Astyanax mexicanus: one gene and its partner. The protein of the gene in region 1 interacts with the protein of each later gene in a pairwise test. Links are inferred from orthologs where the notes say so. Each region holds a gene or a part of one and is shown on either strand. Other genes may lie near its edges.

The links.
Region 2: the proteins of gucd1 (region 1) and cth interact in binary tests that used the Homo sapiens proteins (3 or more experiments, as listed by UniProt). The two-hybrid records come from large-scale screens. The link is inferred for Astyanax mexicanus from reciprocal best matches to the Homo sapiens genes GUCD1 and CTH.

What each region holds. Positions count from the first base shown.
Region 1 is NC_064419.1:13,457,409-13,468,266, reverse strand, and holds the start of gucd1 (protein GUCD1), read right to left. Parts: upstream 4,052-10,858; 5' UTR 3,399-4,051; coding exon 3,392-3,398; intron 3,124-3,391; coding exon 3,039-3,123; intron 1-3,038.
Region 2 is NC_064412.1:18,940,855-18,951,376, forward strand, and holds the start of cth (cystathionine gamma-lyase), read left to right. Parts: upstream 1-5,791; 5' UTR 5,792-5,975; coding exon 5,976-6,137; intron 6,138-8,396; coding exon 8,397-8,478; intron 8,479-8,852; coding exon 8,853-8,948; intron 8,949-9,069; coding exon 9,070-9,179; intron 9,180-9,448; coding exon 9,449-9,583; intron 9,584-10,522. Other genes in the region: ICOS ligand-like, read right to left, coding at 663-995, 1,097-1,157. UniProt on the Homo sapiens protein: Catalyzes the last step in the trans-sulfuration pathway from L-methionine to L-cysteine in a pyridoxal-5'-phosphate (PLP)-dependent manner, which consists on cleaving the L,L-cystathionine molecule into L-cysteine, ammonia and 2-oxobutanoate.

The DNA of each region.
Region 1 (10,858 bases):
TGGGCTATATACAGTATCGAAAGCATCGAACGCTAAAGAACCGAATCGTTTGTGATGACGTAGTATCGAAAAAGAATCGAACCTTCGGTACACCGTGCAACTCTAATATATATGTATATGTGTGTACATGTATATATATATACATATATATATATATGTATATATATATACATATACATATACATATACATGTGTATATATATATATGTTTACATTCTTTAGCTGTTATTCTGCTTCGGAGGTCTGATTTCTTCATATATTGTTTAATTTTGTTGGATAAAGTAAACCCTACACTAATCAAAGCCTTAATTTAAAGCGTTTTTTTTTTTTTAATAGTTCCATAAACCCTATAAATGGACATAAAATACTCAATGTTTAAGTATTCAAAAGAGAACTGAACAGATCTCTTGTACAAGCTCTAACAGAAACACAGACTAGACTGCTCAACATCACCCATGTCTTTACCTCTGTGAAGAATCTGTAAAGTAGCATAAGCTAAAAGCTAGCATTTCATACAAAATATCAAAAAGAAGCACAGTTTGTTTTTAAATCTTTCTGTACTCTGTAGTACAAAGTCATTTTGTTCAGTGCTTTTTGATATTGAATTTCAATACACAGCCCTAGCAAGGATGCTGGCACATGCTGAAAGCAATCTGAGCCAAAAAAAAGTTTATCTTGATCTTGTCAAACCACAAGACATATTTTTTGGACTGCCTGTCTTTAGCAATCTGTTTGCAGGCTTGTGCCTTTTTTTGCATTGCACTTCTCACCTCTTCAAACTCTGCAGTAATGCTTGCAGCACTCGTAAATCTATTTCTTAAAGCCAACCACTGGACATTATACAAAACTTCTTTGGTCGATCCTGAGAAGGACTGTTCTGAGTGGAAACCTTTGACCATTGTTCTGTTTCTCAGTTATAAGCAATATTTTTATAGCCTAGGCCATCTCATATTTTTTGCCATGAAGTGCCATGTATGAGAGAATCATACCAAAAACAACAAAATAATAACCCTGCCCCCATTCACACCTCTAACTCTAACAAACCGCATAACATTGGAGAAGGAAAATGTACTCACTTTTGTTGCCAGTGGTTTAGACATTAATGGCTGTGTGTTGAGTTATTTTGAGGACACAGATAAATTACACTATTATACATGCTGGACACTGACTACTTTACATTGAATCAAACTATAATTTTTTCAGTGCTGTTCAATTGAAAGGTATCATACAATATTTACAGCAATGTAAGGAGTGCACTCACTTTTGTGAGGTACTGTTTCTCAAATCAAGTCACAGACTTTTACAGTAATAAAATCTTGGCATTACACAAACTGCTTTTATATTTTATAATTAACTGACAATATGGCAAAACTGAGGTTTTAGAAGTACATTTCATGAACAAAGTATTGGGACATTTTTTCTTCTGAGTTCAAGCATATTAAAAAAAATGTATCCTGCCATTTTTGAGTAACTGTCTTTACTGCCCAGAGAAGACGTTCAACTAAAATGTAAAGCATTGAGGATTTAATGGCACTAATAAAAAAAGCATATGCAAGGTCAGGATGTTGGATCACCACCCTACCTCATTCCCAACTCGTAAAATTACTGGACAGAGAACCTTCATTTCAGAGAACACAGTTGCACTGTTCCACAGGGCCTGGTATTAGGCATGGTGCAAACAGGCTAATGTTTACTGATCTGCTCCAGAGAGTCATATTCTCTTGGCTGTACTTTTGTAAAAGGGCCAATGATTTAAATTGTAGCAAGAACCTGCTTCATTTTGATGTTGTATGTGCTCTACTATGAAATATGCCACACAAATCATATTTTTTTATATATGAAATCAGCTAAGGACCTTAAACCTTTTTTAAGTACAAGATCAGTTCTGGTTCTAGATAAATCTATCAAAATCCTCCAGGAAACTCCATACATTATATATAACTCCATATGTTATATATGTGTTAGAATGGCAAATGTATAAGGTATATACTTTTGCAAGCCACTGTAAATAAGCCTTTTTTATCCTTATAGAACCTTAGCTTCATATAATTTTTTTTTCGGTAGACAAAACTTTTCAGGCATTTCAACATATTATATATATATATATATATATATATATATATATATATATATATATATATATATATATATATATATATATATATGTTTATATGTATTTATATCTGCATCTGACAGAGTTTAAAGGATGGAAGCTTTTTGTGTAAACCAACCCATTATTCATGTGAGAAGAATGATTGGAACAGATAAGCTTAAAGTAAATTAAAGTGCATCTGGCCTTCTTATTCTTCAGGTTAATAGTGGTTTTCATCTGCTGGTGAAGCCACTGTACTTTTATTCATTAAAATATTTTCATGAAAATGCCTTTTCTTTATTACTTTTCAAATGGTTGCTATGGCCAATATTTGGTCAATGGCTCTGATCTTTACCATAGACAGCTCTCTGGTTTTCATACTGGTTACTTATATATATGATATAAATGCACAGTCTGCGAAGATAAAACCCAAATCTGTACAGACATTCAGCACTATTTATTGTTTGAAAAATGTATGTATCAGGAGACACCTTGGCAACAAAACACACTTGCCAATCTCATGTTTTTCATGTACTTTTGCTCACAACAAATATGGGTGGGTTCAGACAGAAGGTGCTATCCTCTGAGCTATGTATCTGATCCCAGACAAATGTTTTCAGTCTACAGCAAATATAAAAGAAATTAGCTCTCAATATCTTGGGAAATGATTGTATGTGCAATGCAACACAAAAGAGTGTTACGACATTTTAAAGTATGAGATCAGTTTGAGCCAGACTAACTATTTATAGTTGGAAGTATATTTATTTATATTAATATATTATTTAGTTTATATTACTTTCCACATTTCCTTACATTTTCCCGTTATTCTGAATCAGCAGCTCAGCCGGAGAAACATATGCCTCGAATGAAAACCAAAGTAATTGCGATGTGAGATTAAAAAAAAAAAAAAGAAAAAAAAAAAAAGAAAAAGTGATTCTGTACTTACTTTAAAACCATCCGAGAACATGCCAGTCCGCAATCCCAGTGATAGAGCTGTCGAATTATTGGTACGTTCAATAAAACGACATCATCTACAAAATAGTTCGCAGGTTAAGATAACAAGGACATCTGTCGTTGGACTTTAATGGCAAAATCAAGAAAATTAACTAGCTAGTTAGATTAACCAGGTAAATATCCATCTGCTAAGTGAATGTGAAGCAGATACCCTGAACATCTAATCACAATCTGAGGCATGGCAAAGTATCACTTAAACAAGACATTCAAAGAACCTATGTAGAAAGCTAGCTTAACGAAGGTTAGTAAAGCTACCCTAAAAACAAAACTTTTAGCATAGCTTACCTGTCATGATGTATTGAGCTAGTTAATGTTACTTTCCCATTAACATTTATCCAGCGCAGTTCTTCATTCTACGGTTTAACGTATGTTTTAATAAGCAGATCCCCGGCTTCACCCGCACAAACAGCCCTAGCTCAGCTCGCTGGGTTAGAGCCAGTACACTACTTATTACCCTGGTTAACTACTATTAACTTTAAAGTCTACCTTTAGTTCAGCGCGCTGTTCTGTCCTTCTGAAAGCGTTATGAGAGTAGAGCCGAATAGCACTAATAACCAGTAACACTAGTATTACCCAGCAGTAATAACGAGTAACACTAGTATTACCCAGCCCTAATAAACAGTAAAACTAATATTGCCCTGCACTTATGGCCAGTAACACTAATATTACCTTGATTTTATAACCATTAATATCTAATATTACTTTGTGTGCTACTGTTTTTAACCGATGCACAATCCTATATGCCCGTCCTGGTTCCCCATCGCAAGGCCCCTCGGGCTGCTTTGGTGACGCCTGTTCAAAAAACACTAGTACTACTTGCCAAGCCGGTCCATAAGTCTAGCCTCTCGCTGCATTCAAGAGTGGTTGGCGTCCAACTCCGGCCACATTATTGGTTGGAGCGTAAATCCAAAATCGCCGCCATATTGGTTGGGTCTCCACTCAATTCTAGCACCAGAGCACACGCAACAGAGTATATATTATACATATATCAGTTAGATATATTTATAACATGTTTCCTATTAATGTTCCAGTGAGCGTCCTGTATCATAACTACATATCTGCCGTTTGTAACAAACCAAACAAAGTTGTGATTATTATAGTTGTATTATACACCTTCCTCAGTACAAATAAATTCACTTAGGGTACACGGGAGACCCATCTAAAATGGCGGCCGTGCTGAAAAATCAGCTCCAATAGGCGGTGTCTGTCTATATCTATGTCTCAATTCAGGGGCTGCATTCTTCGAAGGACGCAGTCTACGAAGGTGTGTCCTTCGATGTGTAGGCTGCGATGGCAGTACTGAAATGGGACAGTCCAGAGCCGTAGAAAGCCGTAAAAATATCTCTATAGTATTTCCTGTTTCCTGTTTGAGATTCTACCCGCCACAACCAAAGTAAGAGCTGAGAAATGAGCCAGTTACTTAAATATTTTAAATGTGAACGGGTGGAACTGAACATAAACAAATAAAAGGGCGTTTGAAATGAAGTTGGAAAAAAGAGCATAAATTAGAATAAAGTATTATGTTATATTATTTATTATATATATTATATATTATATAGTATTATGTATTTTTATATATATATATAAATATATATAAATACTATATATATTATTTAGTTTATGTAAATAAATATATAAGTATTTATATATCTATAACTATTAACATATAACAACATAAACATGATACTACATATATAAACTAAATAATACTATATATATATATATATATATATATATATATATATATATATATATATATATAAACTAAATAATATAAATGATATAATATATAAATAATATTTATAATATCTATAAGTATTTATATATCTATAAACTACATAATACTACATATCCTACATAATACAGCCGACTCAGTTGAATCCGCCCTTTTCGTGCTGAAATAACCCACTAAACATTAGACGTCTTATGGACGTGCAGATCATGTCTATATTGCGTCGGTCGGTCCAAGACCAATTCTGTACGTCTACAAGACGTGCAAACTAGGTCCGCTATTTGGACGTCTAACTATGACCCCACTTGGACGTCAATATGCAGTTAAACATTTGAACGTCGGACTAGGTCACTTTTTTGGACGTCATGGGGACGTCTAATACAGGTGCAGGAAATTAACATTATTTAAGAATATATTTATTTTTAAATGTATGTCAAAATTGTTGTTATCAATATTGTTAATCACTATGAATATAGATTATTTATGATTAAGCATCATTTATTTCTAATTATTTATTTGAGTATTATATTTTTTATCTATTTAATTAATTAACGAATGTAGGTATTTATTTACGTATGTTTTTATTTTTATTTGGAAATGCAATTTATGTGGAAAATTGTTAAGTTGATTTCAACCAGTCAACGCCACTCTGATTTGCTGAGACCGCACGTCATCATAAACTCCACTCTGATATGCCGAGGCAAAACACGCTAAACATTTTTTACCGCGGTCACGCCATCTGCACTTAGAAAACGCTCGGTCGCGCTATCTACACCGAAAACTGAAGTGCGCGTCTAAACCGTGTTTTACTGTAGCAGCGTGCACAGCGCACCCGGAGGAGCGGAGACTGGCGCTTCTCGTGCAGAGACTTAAAATGGAACAGAAACTAGTTTTACACCTAAATAAAAATGATTTAACGAGATCTAATCCACAAATATACACCAGAAAGACCACTTCTTATCTGTAGAACAGTGTAACGTTTTGAAAAGGTTTGGAGTGTTATTAAATAAGTAATTGTTATAAAATCACATCCCTAAATTCTTAAAGATCTTATTCTCATGTATCCCAGATATATGTTTGAAGTGATATTACTGTATCATTTTTGAGTAATTGAATACCAAAACTATCTATTTCGGAGTGCTATAAATCTAAAAGAAAATCTAATTCTTCTTAAATCAGAACATGAAATCCTTAAAGAATACCTTCCATACTATTTATGTCATGCATGTATACTGATTGTACAGTATCATTTTGGAGTAAATGAATACCAAACTTAGGAAAAATGTATATTCGGTTTTGCATAAACCAGATTTCGGTGTCCTATAAAACCTTCAAATCAAATTGTTATCCAATGAAACCAAGAAAGTCTTGAAGAAAACATTCCATTCTATTAATGACATGAGTAACAAGTGATATTACTGTATCATTCTGGAGTAATTGAATACCAAACATAGGAAAAATGTCTATTCGGTTGTGCATAAACCACATTTCAGAGTCCTATAAAACCAGCAAATCAAATTGTTATCCAATGGCACTAACAAAGGCTTGGAAAACACATTCTATACTATTAATATATACATATATATCAAGTGATTTTACTCTACCATTTTGGAGTAATTAAATATCAAACATACAAAAAGTGTTAATTCACTTTTGCATAAATCAGATTTCAGAGTCCTATAAAACAAGCAAATCAAATTGTTATCCAATGCCACTAAGACATTCTTGAAGAACACATTCCATACTATTAATGACATGAGTAACAAATGATATTACTGTATCATTTTGGAGTAATTGAATACGAAGCTTAGGAAAAATGTCTATTTGGTTGCGCAAAAACCTGATTTTGGAGTCCTGTAAAACCAGCAAATTAAATTGTTATCAAATGCTACCGAGACTGTCTTGAAGAACACATTCCATTCTATTATTGACATGAGTAATAAGTGATATTACTGTATAATTTTGGATTAATTGGATACCAAACTTAGAAAAATGTCTATTCAGTTGTGTATAAACCAGATTTTAAGGTCGCATAAAACCAGCAAATCAAATTGTTATCCAATGCCACCAAGACAGTCTTGAAAAACACATTCCATACTATAAATGACATGAGTAACAAGTGATTTTACTGTACCATTTTGGAGTAATTAAATATCAAACATACGAAAAATGTTGATTCACTTTTGCATAAACCAGATTTCAGAGTCCTACAAACCATTAAAACAAATTGTTATCCAATGCCACTGATAAAGTCTTGAAAAGCACATTCTATACTATTATTGACATGAGTATCAAGTGATTTTACTGTATCATTTTGAAATAATTGGATACCAAACTTGGAAAAAATGTCTATTCGGTTGTGCATTAACCACATTTCAGAGTCCTATAAAACCAGCAAATCAAATCGTTATCCAATGGCACTAACAAAGTCTTGAAGAACACATTCTATACTATTATTGACATGAGTATCAAGTGATTTTACTGTATCATTTTGGAGTAATTGGATACCAAACTTAGGAAAAATTTCTGTTCGGTTGTGCATAAACCAGATTTTAAGGTCCCACAAAACCAGCAAATTAGATTGTTATCCAATGCCACCAAGACAGTCTTGAAGAACACATTGCAAACTATTAATGACATGAGTAACAAATGATATTACTGTATCATTCTGGAGTAATTGGATACCAAGCTTAGGAAAAATGTCTATTCAGTTGTGAAAAAACCTGATTTCAGAGTCCTATAAAACCAGCAAATCAAATTGTTATCCAATGGCACTAACAAAGGCTTGGAAAACACATTCTATACTATTAACAACATATATATCAAGTGATTTTACTGTACCATTTTGGAGTAATTAAATATCAAACATACAAAAAGTGTTAATTCACTTTTGCATAAATCAGATTTCAGAGTCCTATAAAACAAGCAAATCAAATTGTTATCCAATGCCACTAAGACATTCTAGAAGAACACATTCCATACTATTAATGACATGAGTAACAAATGATGTTACTGTATCATTTTGGAGTAATTGAATACGAAGCTTAGGAAAAATGTCTATTTGGTTGCGCAAAAACCTGATTTTGGAGTCCTGTAAAACCAGCAAATTAAATTGTTATCAAATGCTACCAAGACTGTCTTGAAGAACACATTCCATTCTATTATTGACATGAGTAATAAGTGATATTACTGTATAATTTCGGATTAATTGGATACCAAACATACGAAAAATGTTGATTCACTTTTGCATAAACCAGATTTCAGAGTCCTACAAACCATTAAAACAAATTGTTATCCAATGCCACTGATAAAGTCTTGAAAAGCACATTCTATACTATTATTGACATGAGTATCAAGTGATTTTACTGTATCATTTTGAAATAATTGGATACCAAACTTGGAAAAAATGTCTATTCGGTTGTGCATAAACCAGATTTTAAGGTCCCATAAAACCAGCAAATTAAATTGTTATCCAATGCCACCAAGACAGTCTTGAAGAACACATTGCAAACTATTAATGACATGAGTAACAAGTGATTTTACTGTACCATTTTGGAGTAATTAAATATCAAACATACGAAAAATGTTGATTCACTTTTGCATAAACCAGATTTCAGTCCTACAAACCATTAAAACAAATTGTTATCCAATGCCACTGATAAAGTCTTGAAAAGCACATTCTATACTATTACTGACATGAGTATCAAGTGATTTTACTGTATCATTTTGAAATAATTGGATACCAAACTTGGAAAAAATGTCTATTCGGTTGTGCATAAACCACATTTCAGAGTCCTACAAAACCAGCAAATCAAATCGTTATCCAATGGCACTAACAAAGTCTTGAAGAACACATTCTATACTATTATTGACATGAGTATCAAGTGATTTTACTGTATCATTTTGGAGTAATTGGATACCAAACTTAGGAAAAATTTCTGTTCGGTTGTGCATAAACCAGATTTTAAGGTCCCATAAAACCAGCAAATTAAATTGTTATCCAATGCCACCAAGACAGTCTTGAAGAACACATTGCAAACTATTAATGACATGAGTAACAAATGATATTACTGTATCATTCTGGAGTAATTGGATACCAAGCTTAGGAAAAATGTCTATTCAGTTGTGAAAAAACCTGATTTCAGAGTCCTATAAAACCAGCAAATTAAATTGTTATCCAATGCCACCAAGACAGTCTTGAAGAACACATTCTATACTATCAATGACTTGAGTAACAAATGATATTACTGTATCATTTTGGCTTAATTGGAGACCAAACTTAGAATAAATGTCTGTTCGGTTGGGCACAAACCAGATTTTAAGGTCCCATAAAACCAGCATATTAAATTGTTATCCAATGCCACCAAGACATTCTTGAAAATCACATTCTATACTATTATTGACATGAGTATCAAGTGATTTTACTGTATCATTTTGAAATAATTGGATACCAAACTTGGAAAAAATGTCTATTCGGTTGTGCATAAACCACATTTCAGAGTCCTACAAAACCAGCAAATCAAATCGTTATCCAATGGCACTAACAAAGTCTTGAAGAACACATTCTATACTATTATTGACATGAGTATCAAGTGATTTTACTGTATCATTTTGAAATAATTGGATACCAAACTTGGAAAAAATGTCTATTCGGTTGTGCATAAACCAGATTTTAAGGTCCCATAAAACCAGCAAATTAAATTGTTATCCAATGCCACCAAGACAGTCTTGAAGAACACATTGCAAACTATTAATGACATGAGTAACAAGTGATTTTACTGTACCATTTTGGAGTAATTAAATATCAAACATACGAAAAATGTTGATTCACTTTTGCATAAACCACATTTCAGAGTCTTACAAACCATTAAAACAAATTGTTATCCAATGCCACTGATAAAGTCTTGAAAAGCACATTCTATACTATTACTGACATGAGTATCAAGTGATTTTACTGTATCATTTTGAAATAATTGGATACCAAACTTGGAAAAAATGTCTATTCGGTTGTGCATAAACCACATTTCAGAGTCCTACAAAACCAGCAAATCAAATCGTTATCCAATGGCACTAACAAAGTCTTGAAGAACACATTCTATACTATTATTGACATGAGTATCAAGTGATTTTACTGTATCATTTTGGAGTAATTGGATACCAAACTTAGGAAAAATTTCTGTTCGGTTGTGCATAAACCAGATTTTAAGGTCCCATAAAACCAGCAAATTAAATTGTTATCCAATGCCACCAAGACAGTCTTGAAGAACACATTGCAAACTATTAATGACATGAGTAACAAATGATATTACTGTATCATTCTGGAGTAATTGGATACCAAGCTTAGGAAAAATGTCTATTCAGTTGTGAAAAAACCTGATTTCAGAGTCCTATAAAACCAGCAAATTAAATTGTTATCCAATGCCACCAAGACAGTCTTGAAGAACACATTCTATACTATCAATGACTTGAGTAACAAATGATATTACTGTATCATTTTGGCTTAATTGGAGACCAAACTTAGAATAAATGTCTGTTCGGTTGGGCACAAACCAGATTTTAAGGTCCCATAAAACCAGCATATTAAATTGTTATCCAATGCCACCAAGACATTCTTGAAAATCACATTCTATACTATTATTGACATGAGTATCAAGTGATTTTACTGTATCATTTTGAAATAATTGGATACCAAACTTGGAAAAAATGTCTATTCGGTTGTGCATAAACCACATTTCAGAGTCCTACAAAACCAGCAAATCAAATCGTTATCCAATGGCACTAACAAAGTCTTGAAGAACACATTCTATACTATTATTGACATGAGTATCAAGTGATTTTACTGTATCATTTTGGAGTAATTGGATACCAAACTTAGGAAAAATTTCTGTTCGGTTGTGCATAAACCAGATTTTAAGGTCCCATAAAACCAGCAAATTAAATTGTTATCCAATGCCACCAAGACAGTCTTGAAGAACACATTGCAAACTATTAATGACATGAGTAACAAATGATATTACTGT
Region 2 (10,522 bases), on another chromosome or scaffold:
TGCCAGCTTTACCATTTACAAGTTAAATAGCGCAGTCTCTGATGTGTCAAGCTAAGAGTGGCAATGAGAGTGGGTCTACTTTTCTTATTAAGGGTCATTCAAACATTTTAGGCTTTTTTAAGCTTTAAGTTTTTGTTAGGTTAAAATGCCAAGTAATTATTATTATGCTTTAGTATAGGGTTTCCTACGGCTTTGGGTATTAATCTTATTATCAAGTAGCTCTGTCATTCCTCAGTCAATATATGAAAACTAAGCTACAAAAAGACTGTTGTGCATTAACTGTTTGTGTGATGTCAAAAAAACCAACACATTTGCATATATCAGCAAGCAACTTTTTCCATCCCCCCATTCATGCTGAAGTATTAAGAAATGTTTTAGCCTGGACTGCTTTTTAAATAAAGCACAATAAAAGGGAGCCAGAGCAATGGTATATTGCTAAATGGCCATGTAAAGTATAAATTGTGTTTGGTGTGCATCAGACAATTTATTATATGTTAAGTATCTCTTAAAATATATGTGTATATAGCTAGAAATGTTTAGCATAAATAAACATATATATATATATATATATATATATATATATATATATATATATATATATATATATATATATATATATATATATGCATAATATTTAATATGTGATACATGATAATTCTTACCTGCAACACTCAGGCAGACAGTGCATATTGAAGCATTAGCTCCACGGTCCAGACGCTTTAAATATAGACTGTAATTCTGGGCATCTGGAAAACGGATGTCACTTAACTTCAACGTGAAATTTCCAGTTTGTGCCAGAGAGGACACTGTGCTCCTGCCATTGAAGTCCACTTCGAGTCTTTCCTCATGTCCCCCTCTCCACACAGCTTTGTAGACCACCTCAGAGCCTCTTTTCCATTCAAATGAAATGTTTAAAGAGCTCAAATCCTCTGGTCCATTATAAAGACAGGGAATAGAGACAGATTCCCCCAACATTCCAACTACACATGTTTTAGCTATATGGAAAAAGAGTTACATGAACAGAACTGTAAATTAAAATACACAGTGCCAGTGTTGTTTGTAACCAAAGGGTGTGTACATGGATTATTCAACCTACCTTGACATGTATAAAAACATAAAAAGTTCAGCAGCAATGTCCTAAACCATGTTTTCCTCATTTCCAGTTGGGGATTAGCTCATATAGCACATCACACAGTTTGCAATTATGTTGTCAAAAGAAAAAAAGCAATGAAAAAAAAGAAAAAGCTGTCTGAGAAGATTTAAGAAGATCTGTTCAAACCTGCTGAGCGTGCTGCTTTCCCACAAGCACACCCTTCAACAACATAATGCAACAGAAATAATGTTCAAACTAGCTCCCAGTAGTGTGCTGTCCTTTAGCTCCCATCCAGAGTGTTCCTCCTTTCACACAGCTTTGCAAGCTTTCACAGGCCTAGCAGCTCACATCATTTGGTTATCGGTTGTAAAACTTCTACATGAGCCTTTCTTCTTCCTGCATTTGTAAACTGATAAACATAAACCATGCACATGTGGGTGTAGCCCTACTGCTCACACAGGCCCAACAGGAAAGGCTCATTTTGCAGCCTCAGACATTTGCATGCAGGAAGTTAAGTCTGGACTATAGATAACGTGTCTAATAGTTGCTAGAAGAAACAAAAAAAATCAACATAGCACAAAAAGTAAAGAGATTTTTATTTGGTGGATTATTTGTTTGCTTCTTGGCAATACATCTTATATCTTTGTAAAGCATGTTAAGTTTTCTTTTAAATGATGCCATATTTGTAAGGAACATGCATTTGTGGGATGAGCAGCAGAGCTAAGTATGTGGATTGCACCCATAGATTTTTTGCCAAATCCTCTCTGCCATTGCCAAACAGCGTATTGTTTCATTTACATATTTGGTGTTTAACGAACTTCTTGGGACGCCCACCCCTCGGCCTGTCTTTCCAGTCTTAAATTTGAAGATACTACTAGGGCTCACGCCAAATAATGTCGCAACTTGGTTTTGCAGAACACCAACTTAAAGTTGCCCAACCACCATTCTCTGAGTAGTCCAGCTGGGGAGATTGCTGATTCAAATCCCGTTTATGTAGCTTGCCTTCAGCTTCTGGACCCCCGAGAGAGCACAATTGTCCTTTATGGCAATCTCTTCCCACCTCACTCCAAAGGCGTCTGTGAGCTGATATATCAGAACCGAGTCGCTGTGCTTTCCTCCGAGTGCGCTGTGATGCTATTCAGCAATGCTGCATCACCAACAGTTTGAAAAGAGGAGGTGGCTGAATTCACATGTGTTGGAGGAGGCATGTGCTAGTCTTCACCCTCCTGGTGTTGAGGCATCACTAGTGACAGAGAGAGTCCTAATGAATGGGTTAGGTAATTGGCATGGTAAATTGGGGGGAAAAAATAGGACAAAAAAAGTAATAATAATAAAAAGTTTCCCTAATGCCTGAGTCCTATCCAGATTAGTCAAGTGTACTAGAAACTCAAAACAAGTATTAATATAAACAGAAAAATAAGCTGTTTGGCAATTTTTTAATGGGCAAAACCCACATACTCAGCTCTGCTGCTCATCCCACAAACACATCTACCATTTAAAAGGGAAATCAACAGGATTTTTAACGATATGAGATTTACTTTTAGTGCTTACTTTTTGTGCTAACCTGTTATTATGAAATAACAAAATGTTGGAATGAGTAACATGCCTGAAGCCCCTTTCTTAATATAACATCCTATGAATACTTTCTACCTTGCTTATTGTACATGTTCACAACAAGTCTTCGCAACCCTCCACTGCCCCATCTCCTCCCTTTAACTCTGTTATCTCTCCTCCCTAACACCACTTTTTAGAGAGGGGAGACTGGCTTCCTATGACGAGCAAAAGCTGCCCTAAATAAAATGTGGTCAGATGCAAATTACACCCACTACGTTATGCTACAATGACTATTTTTATTGACATTTCCTCATATAAACAAATGTGGCAGCTTCACATTGGAATAATATACTTTAAAGATTTGATATGTTATTTTGTAGTTTTCCCAAAAATATATTTAAGTAAGGAAATATGATCACATGTAAAAGTGGTTGCAAGAAAAATGTAATAACATGACAAAATAACAAGTTTATAAAGTGTTACTTTTAATTCTGCTGCATTATAACAGTATAACAAATTATATTTAGCCTTCCATATTGATTAAGCAAATTACTGTTCACTGTTGTCTTTTTTGTTTGTAAGCACTTCATAAACCAACTTTATAGGCATTATTTTCATATCAAAAAACTTCAATATCATGGATTTGTTTGCGCACACAGGTCCTCACAGAGGGCCAGAGCTCATTTGAACTAGTGCAAAGTCTTAGCAAGTAATTCACTCTGTGTTTGGTCATAAAATGCTTTGTAATCATATGTTTCCTAATATATAAAATGGTAAATTTTGCATCAGCAGCAGTTCGAAAAGAGGCAGTGGCTGACTTTACATGTATAGGAGGAGGCATGTGCTAGTCTTCACCCTCTTGATTTTTATGGAGTCAAAAAAGGGTCATAAAGATTTTGAGTTTGTAAAACAGAAGTCACAAATGTACTGAAACTTGTAACTGCGTTTAAACAACTGCATGCACGAAAATCCAAATCCACAAATTAACTGGAATGTGCAAACTTGAAACAGAAAGTAATATTAATAATAATTCAAATGTACAAATGTGAAAAAAATATTTTAATTATATATAAATATATATATTTTAATTTGTAAATCCAATCTCTTGAATGTGTGAATCAGTACTGCTCAAATGGCTTAAGCTGGGTCAGACCAAAAATCACATGGAATTTGTGAGGTTGTAAATGTGACAGTGGGTGTTTTTCACTGTGGAGCTAAAAATCCTCTCAGTACTCCGAGCTGCAGAGACCCACCCATTGTTCTGATTGGTTAAACAAACCCCGTAATCTGATTGGTCCGGATAAAGCTTTCCTATTGGTCCATCAATCAGGCGTCAAAACAGGGTCAAAATTCGCAACTGCAGCTGGAGCTTCGCACACGCAGCAGAGAAGATGAATGAGAGGATTTTTAGCTCCACAGTGAAAAACACCCACTGTCACATTTACAACCTCACAAATTCCATGTGATTTTTGGTCTGACCCAGCTTAAGCCATTTGAGCAGTACTGATTCACACATTGAAGAGATTGGATTTACAAATTAAAATATATATATTTATATATAATTAAAATATTTTTTTCACATTTGTACATTTGAATTATTATTAATATTACTTTCTGTTTCAAGTTTGCACATTCCAGTTAATTTGTGGATTTGGATTTTCGTGCATGCAGTTGTTTAAACGCAGTTACAAGTTTCAGTACATTTCTGTTTTACAAACTCAAAATCTTTATGACCCTTTTTTGACTCCATAGATTTTGGGGCATCACTAGTGATATGGGGAGTCCTAATGAGTAAGTTGGGTAATTGGCCGTGGAAATTGGGGAAAAAATGGGGAAAAAATGTAAATTAAATTTAAGATATTAAAATGACTTCTATCATTATGTTAATATTCTAAAAGGGTTCAGCACAATTCAGATTGGTTCAGTTTACTACTTTTAATGTTAACTGTTATGTAAACAGAATGTTGTGTTTTTTTCAACCCTATCAGTTATTCGGGTTCAATCAACCCTAAAAAAAGAGATGAAGCTGACCCTGAAAGGAAGAGCTATTGTTAAATGTCAAAGTTTACTGATAGAGACTAACAGAAAAATTATACCTGTGATCAGTAGACTTATAATACTAATACTAATAAAACTGCATTCCTTTAACTTCAGCAAGCTAATATTTAGCTATTTAGTTACAAATGTTTTTGAACTTCCTTGTAAAATATTTTGTTCACTTAGTTTTTTGCTTACTGTTTCCTTATTTAGTTAATTTTTCTTTTTCATTGTGCATATTTCATTAATCCTGTCTTCAGGGCATACAGAGTACAATGTTATCACAAACATTACTCAACAACAAGCTCTTGAATAGGGCAAGTTCAGGTTCAGGACACAGAGTGCTCTTTTTGGAGGGGGAACTGTTAAAGTACTATGCAAGTTTTAAGAAGCAAAACATGTTTTTTAAATGATTAAATAACAATGTTTTGCTCAATATAATGTATAATATAATAATAATTACACAACACAATAATATAAGGGTTTTAAAATATTCACTTAAAACAGTTCGTCCTGTATTTTCATTGTTACAGCCATATTTCATCAAACACAGAATGGACAGGATATACGCTGTTTATGTTTTTACTGTATTTTGGTTCAACAAACAAGTATACAAAAAATGTCAGACAATTTACAATATATGAGTTATTGGTGGGTACAAACTTAATTATTCTTGCATCATGCTTATTGAACAGGAAATCTAAATTAGAAATAAAACAAAAATACAATAATTGAGGAAGGCTAATCGATATACGATAGATCATCATTATAAAATAAATCATAATAATAGAATAACGTTTTTTTGTATGGATTCTACTTAAAGATTGGAGAAGTAAATTAAACTCAATTAAATATAGGAAAGCTTTGTGAATAAAATATATTTTAAGTAGAATATAAAAGTTTACAATATATTCTAAAGGTTTATTCGATGTACTGGTATAGTAACAAATGATATGATTAAGTGTAAAAGTGTGGTTAACATAATATAACGTTAGATAATACAGCACGTTGTCTCTGTATTGTTGGTTGAACGTGTTGCATCATCGGGACGTCGGGTCTCCGCAAACGTGGGTCACGTGGTGCACCGCGCCCCCACGCGCACGCCAATGGCTGTCAGTGTGCGGGAGGGAGTCAGACGGTTCGCGGGTATAAGACTAATGTTTCTGCTGCTCCGGGTTTCAGTGGTAACCGCGGTCTCTGGTACGCAGGCAGTGTGATTCCTCCCCCCGCGCGTGTTGATCTGCTCTCAGGGACGCGTGTCTCCTCCAGGCCGGTCAGCAGTAAATAAAGCATGGCTAGCGGCAGCGGCGGCGAGTGGCTGTCCGGGTTCAGCTCTTTCGCCACGGACGCGATTCACGTAGGCCAGGAGCCGGAGCAGTGGAACTCCATGGCCGTGGTTCCTCCCATTTCACTCTCCACCACCTTTAAACAGTACGGCCCGGGCAAGCACGCGGTGAGTACCCGGGGGCGGCTCGGGTTACCTGGGGAGGGGGTGGTATAGTGTCTTTAAGAAGAACGTGGATTTAGACCCACCCGGTAACGTTAAATCAGTGTGGTTAAATAGCCCGTGTTCCCCCGGCTGCTCTGTAGATAATAAGCGGGACCGCAGGCTGTGTTATTTACTGTGGTTCATTAGCCATGATGATGTGATTAACTCGACCCGGCTAAACTAGACTAAATGAACCCCCTCTTTATCAACACAAAGAAAGAGATTTGTGGCCTCACTGCTTATAATATCCATAAATTCCCTATAATAACACATTTATGAGCACTCAGCAGGTTCAGGGGAGTAGATTAAAGTGCCCAAACATTATATATCATCTAATATCATCTAGTATCATTTACATGTGAATGTTTTAATGGGTTAAAGGGTGGAAAGATAGCTAAATATTTAGCTAGGTTAGATGTTGGGTGGGTTGATGAAGATTTTAGTCAGATATTCTTATTATGAATTTTAAAAGCTCCCAGTTGAGTAGCTAGCTACAGGATGTTTGCCAGAAAAAATGTGAGAAATGTATATAAAATGTGAAAATATCAGCCATATTTCAATATCAGCTATAGTTTTACATAGGTCAGCAGGGTCAGGGGAGTAGATTAAAGTGCCCAAACATGATCTATATCATCTAGTATCATTTACAGTACAAGATTTTAATAGGTTTATGTGTAGAAAGATAGCTATTTAAATCATATGTAAAACATATCACCTATACTCCAATATCAATTATCATTTTAGGTAGGTCAGCAAGGTCAGGGGAGTAGATTAAAGTGCCCAAACATGATCTAGTGTATCATCTAGTTTCATTTACATTACAAGATTTTAATATTGAGGAAAGATCCCCATATTTCACTGTCAGTTATCATTTTACATCGCTCAGCAGGGTGAGTGGAGTAGATTAAAGTGCCCAAACATGATCTAGTGTATCATCTAGTTTCATTTTCATTACAATATTTAGTGAATTTAACCCTCTATGCCATTTAGATTATTGCTAGATAGTGTTCTTCTTTTTTTTATCATTATCATTATAAAAGCTTCCAGTGGAGTAACTACATGATATGTGGCAGAATAAGAGTAAACTATACAGTCATCATATCAATCATAGGCAATCATATCAAACTATCAGATATATTTTAATATCAGTTATCATGTTAGATAGCTTACCTTATCCTTCATTTCTATTAATAAACCCATTAAATATATCAGGCTGATTTTATCACCTATTTATTATTCAATACGTGGTCCCTTTAAATAATTCTCTATAATACAACAAAGTATATGTGTGTATATTTTTTTATCGCACATTGTCAGTGCTGCTGTTTATGTTTCAGCCATCAGGGAGAGTTGAAAGCAGGTGAGATGTGTTTGTTGTGGAGAACAATAGGAACCATTCTACTTTGGGCAGTTAGCCCAAAAAGACCTTTGTGGCCGCCCTGAGCTCAGTTCAACACTGGCTGACATTTGAATAATGTGGTACAGCAGTATTCTCTTTTTGGTTTTCAATGAAGTGATTTAATGGAGCCAGATTGACAGTAATAAATCACACATCTGATTGCCCTTTGTACACTTTCTCTTACTAATAATTCCTGAGAGTAGATACTGATAGCCTGGTAAGTTCAAGTGTGGGTCAAGGTTAAAAAGAGAAAAACAGATTGCCGGTAAAGTCCACCTGCTATGTAAAGGCTTCGTGCCTCTGTATCAAAGTGGGCATGTTGTAAGCCCACTTGTGCAACAGCTGATAGATCTGTTTTTAGTTGTGACTGGTCAGTTCCAGATCCATTGAGCTGGTGCCAAAAGACTTACCAAATAATGTCAGCTTTACCAGAGTATTGCTTGTTATTAAATGATTTTAGCTTTGATATGTGCAGCAAATTGAAACGTCAGAAAAACTGTGAACTGGTTAAGCACTTGAAACGCACAGAGGGTCACAAGTAATTGCTGTCTAGTCCTACGCCAAGTTTTTTAAAACAATTTTAAAAGTACTGTCAAAAACATTAAACATCATTAATGAGTCTTTTAGATGCTTTACTGTACTAAATCCAGTTAACCAGGGCTAATTATACTATCTCTGTGATATAACATATTGGCCTATATGGTCATAATTAGACTTTTTTCCAGCATTTACTAGTTTGTAGCATAAATAGTTTGTACTGTAGTTTTATGTTTTGTTGGTTTGCATTCAGTATTTGTTCCATATTTTTTTGTTTTAATCACTAGGGATTTGAGTACAGTCGCAGTGGAAATCCCACACGCAACTGCCTTGAGAAGGCGGTTGCTTCTTTGGATGGAGCTAAGCACTGTAAGTCATCTGTTTAGTTACCTATTTACTTAAGTACTTATAATAACTTGTGAGCGCTGTGTAAATGATCAGCTTACTGTACACCTTACTGTTACTGAAAAGACTGTGTGAGAAGAACAGACGATTGGTGCAGGTGTAACTGACAATCGCATGCTCACTCACCTTGAAGAGATAAGCTCAGTATTGCATCAGATAAAGTCATAGTAACCTGCTTTTAAAACTGACACATCTCATTCATCTGTTGGCAAGTTGTGCTGCTTCCTCTTTATTACATAACAGTAGGTATTTCCAAATGTGTGACTAAGCAGGTTCTTGTAATTGATGATGATGATGATGATGATGATGATGATAGTGATGTGGTTTGTTAATGATAGGTGTTGCTCTTGCCTCTGGACTTGCTGCTACTGTGACCGTTACGCACATGCTGAAATCTGGGGATGGAATCGTGTGCATGAATGATGTCTATGGAGGTAGGCGACCGCTACACACACTGTTTGTAATTCCTTGAATTCTGTTGCTTGAGCAAAAAAGGAAGTGGCAAAAATGAGGAAGTGATAATGAATTTAATGTGTTTCTTATTTTCCTCACCAGGAACCAATCGCTATTTCCAAAGAATAGCTAAAGAAATTGGCTATGATATCTCCTTCGCTGATTGCACAAAGCCTGAAGTCTTAAAGGCAGCTCTTAAGCCTAATACAAAGGTGTGACTCCAGGGTGTCTGGTCTGAAAGAGCAGCTTCTTTATTACATAAGAATGAAATTTATGCACAGTCACTGTGATTTGACTTCATTTTTTGCTTGCCTAATTGTGACTCTGTTCAGTCCCTACCCTTATTAAAATGCTCTTGTGATTCAGCACTAAACACACACAGTGGGTGGGGCTACTGGTTTCCTGTTCTGTCTGCTGTTTTTTATACAGCAATAGAAGCCTGTTGTTTCATCATTTCATATGGATGTTCTCTTTCATACAGATGTTGTGGATTGAGACTCCATCAAACCCAACAATGAAGGTTGTGGACATACAAGCATGTTCAGACCTTGCACATGAACAAAACAAAGACATTATTGTAGTTGTGGACAATACCTTCATGTCTGCCTATTTCCAGGTATGTCTTACATTTGCTCACATCCTGAATTTCGTCACTTCTGTTTTTAAACGCAGATGTACGTCACAGCATTTGTGACTCATTATGAGAGTTCTTATTGCATCAGCCATTATTTGTTCAAACCAGTCTGCTCATTGTCTCATTATTAATGTGATTGATGTTGAGTAACCTCTAGAGATTGTTGTGCTAAACATCCCAGGGATTGGCAGTTCTGGAATTACTTAAACCGGTTCTCCTGACAGCAACTGTTGTACCACTCTCAAAATGATCTCAAATTTCTGCAAATTCTGATGGTTAATGTTAACGTTACTTAAAGCTTCTGACCTATATCTGCATAATGTGCACATTACGGTTGGGCGATATGCCCCTAAAACAATATCACAGTATTTTATGGTATTTTCACGTTAACGATACTCTTGGTGATATAAATATTTCAAGAATACCCTACTGCTACAAAATGAAAATTAAATTGTATTATTGCATACAATTTGACATGGCACACCCCTAACTGAGATATTAAAAAATATAACAATTTTATCAAATGTGTAACAGAACTCACTGATCCAGAATGTCATGATACTAATATTGCACTTCAAATATCTCCATATATCCAGGAATAAAATAAAATAAATAATACTGGACAGATATAATCTCTCTAGTAGATATATCATGAGAAATGAGAACTGTGTGAATTTTTCTTTTGCTAAAAACAGCAAAAATATAGAACCTTGATGTGGTAATTAGGGATGTGTGATATGGCACAATATTTAGGGTATAATATAATTTGCTATATTAAAAAATGTTGGCGATATTTGTGTACGATTTGATATGGCACACCTCTAGTGCACATTAAACTTTTTCCACATAAATCATTAAAAGAAAAATTGCATAAATTAAGGGTAATCCTAATAAAGTGCTTGGTGAATGTAGTCTTTTGTA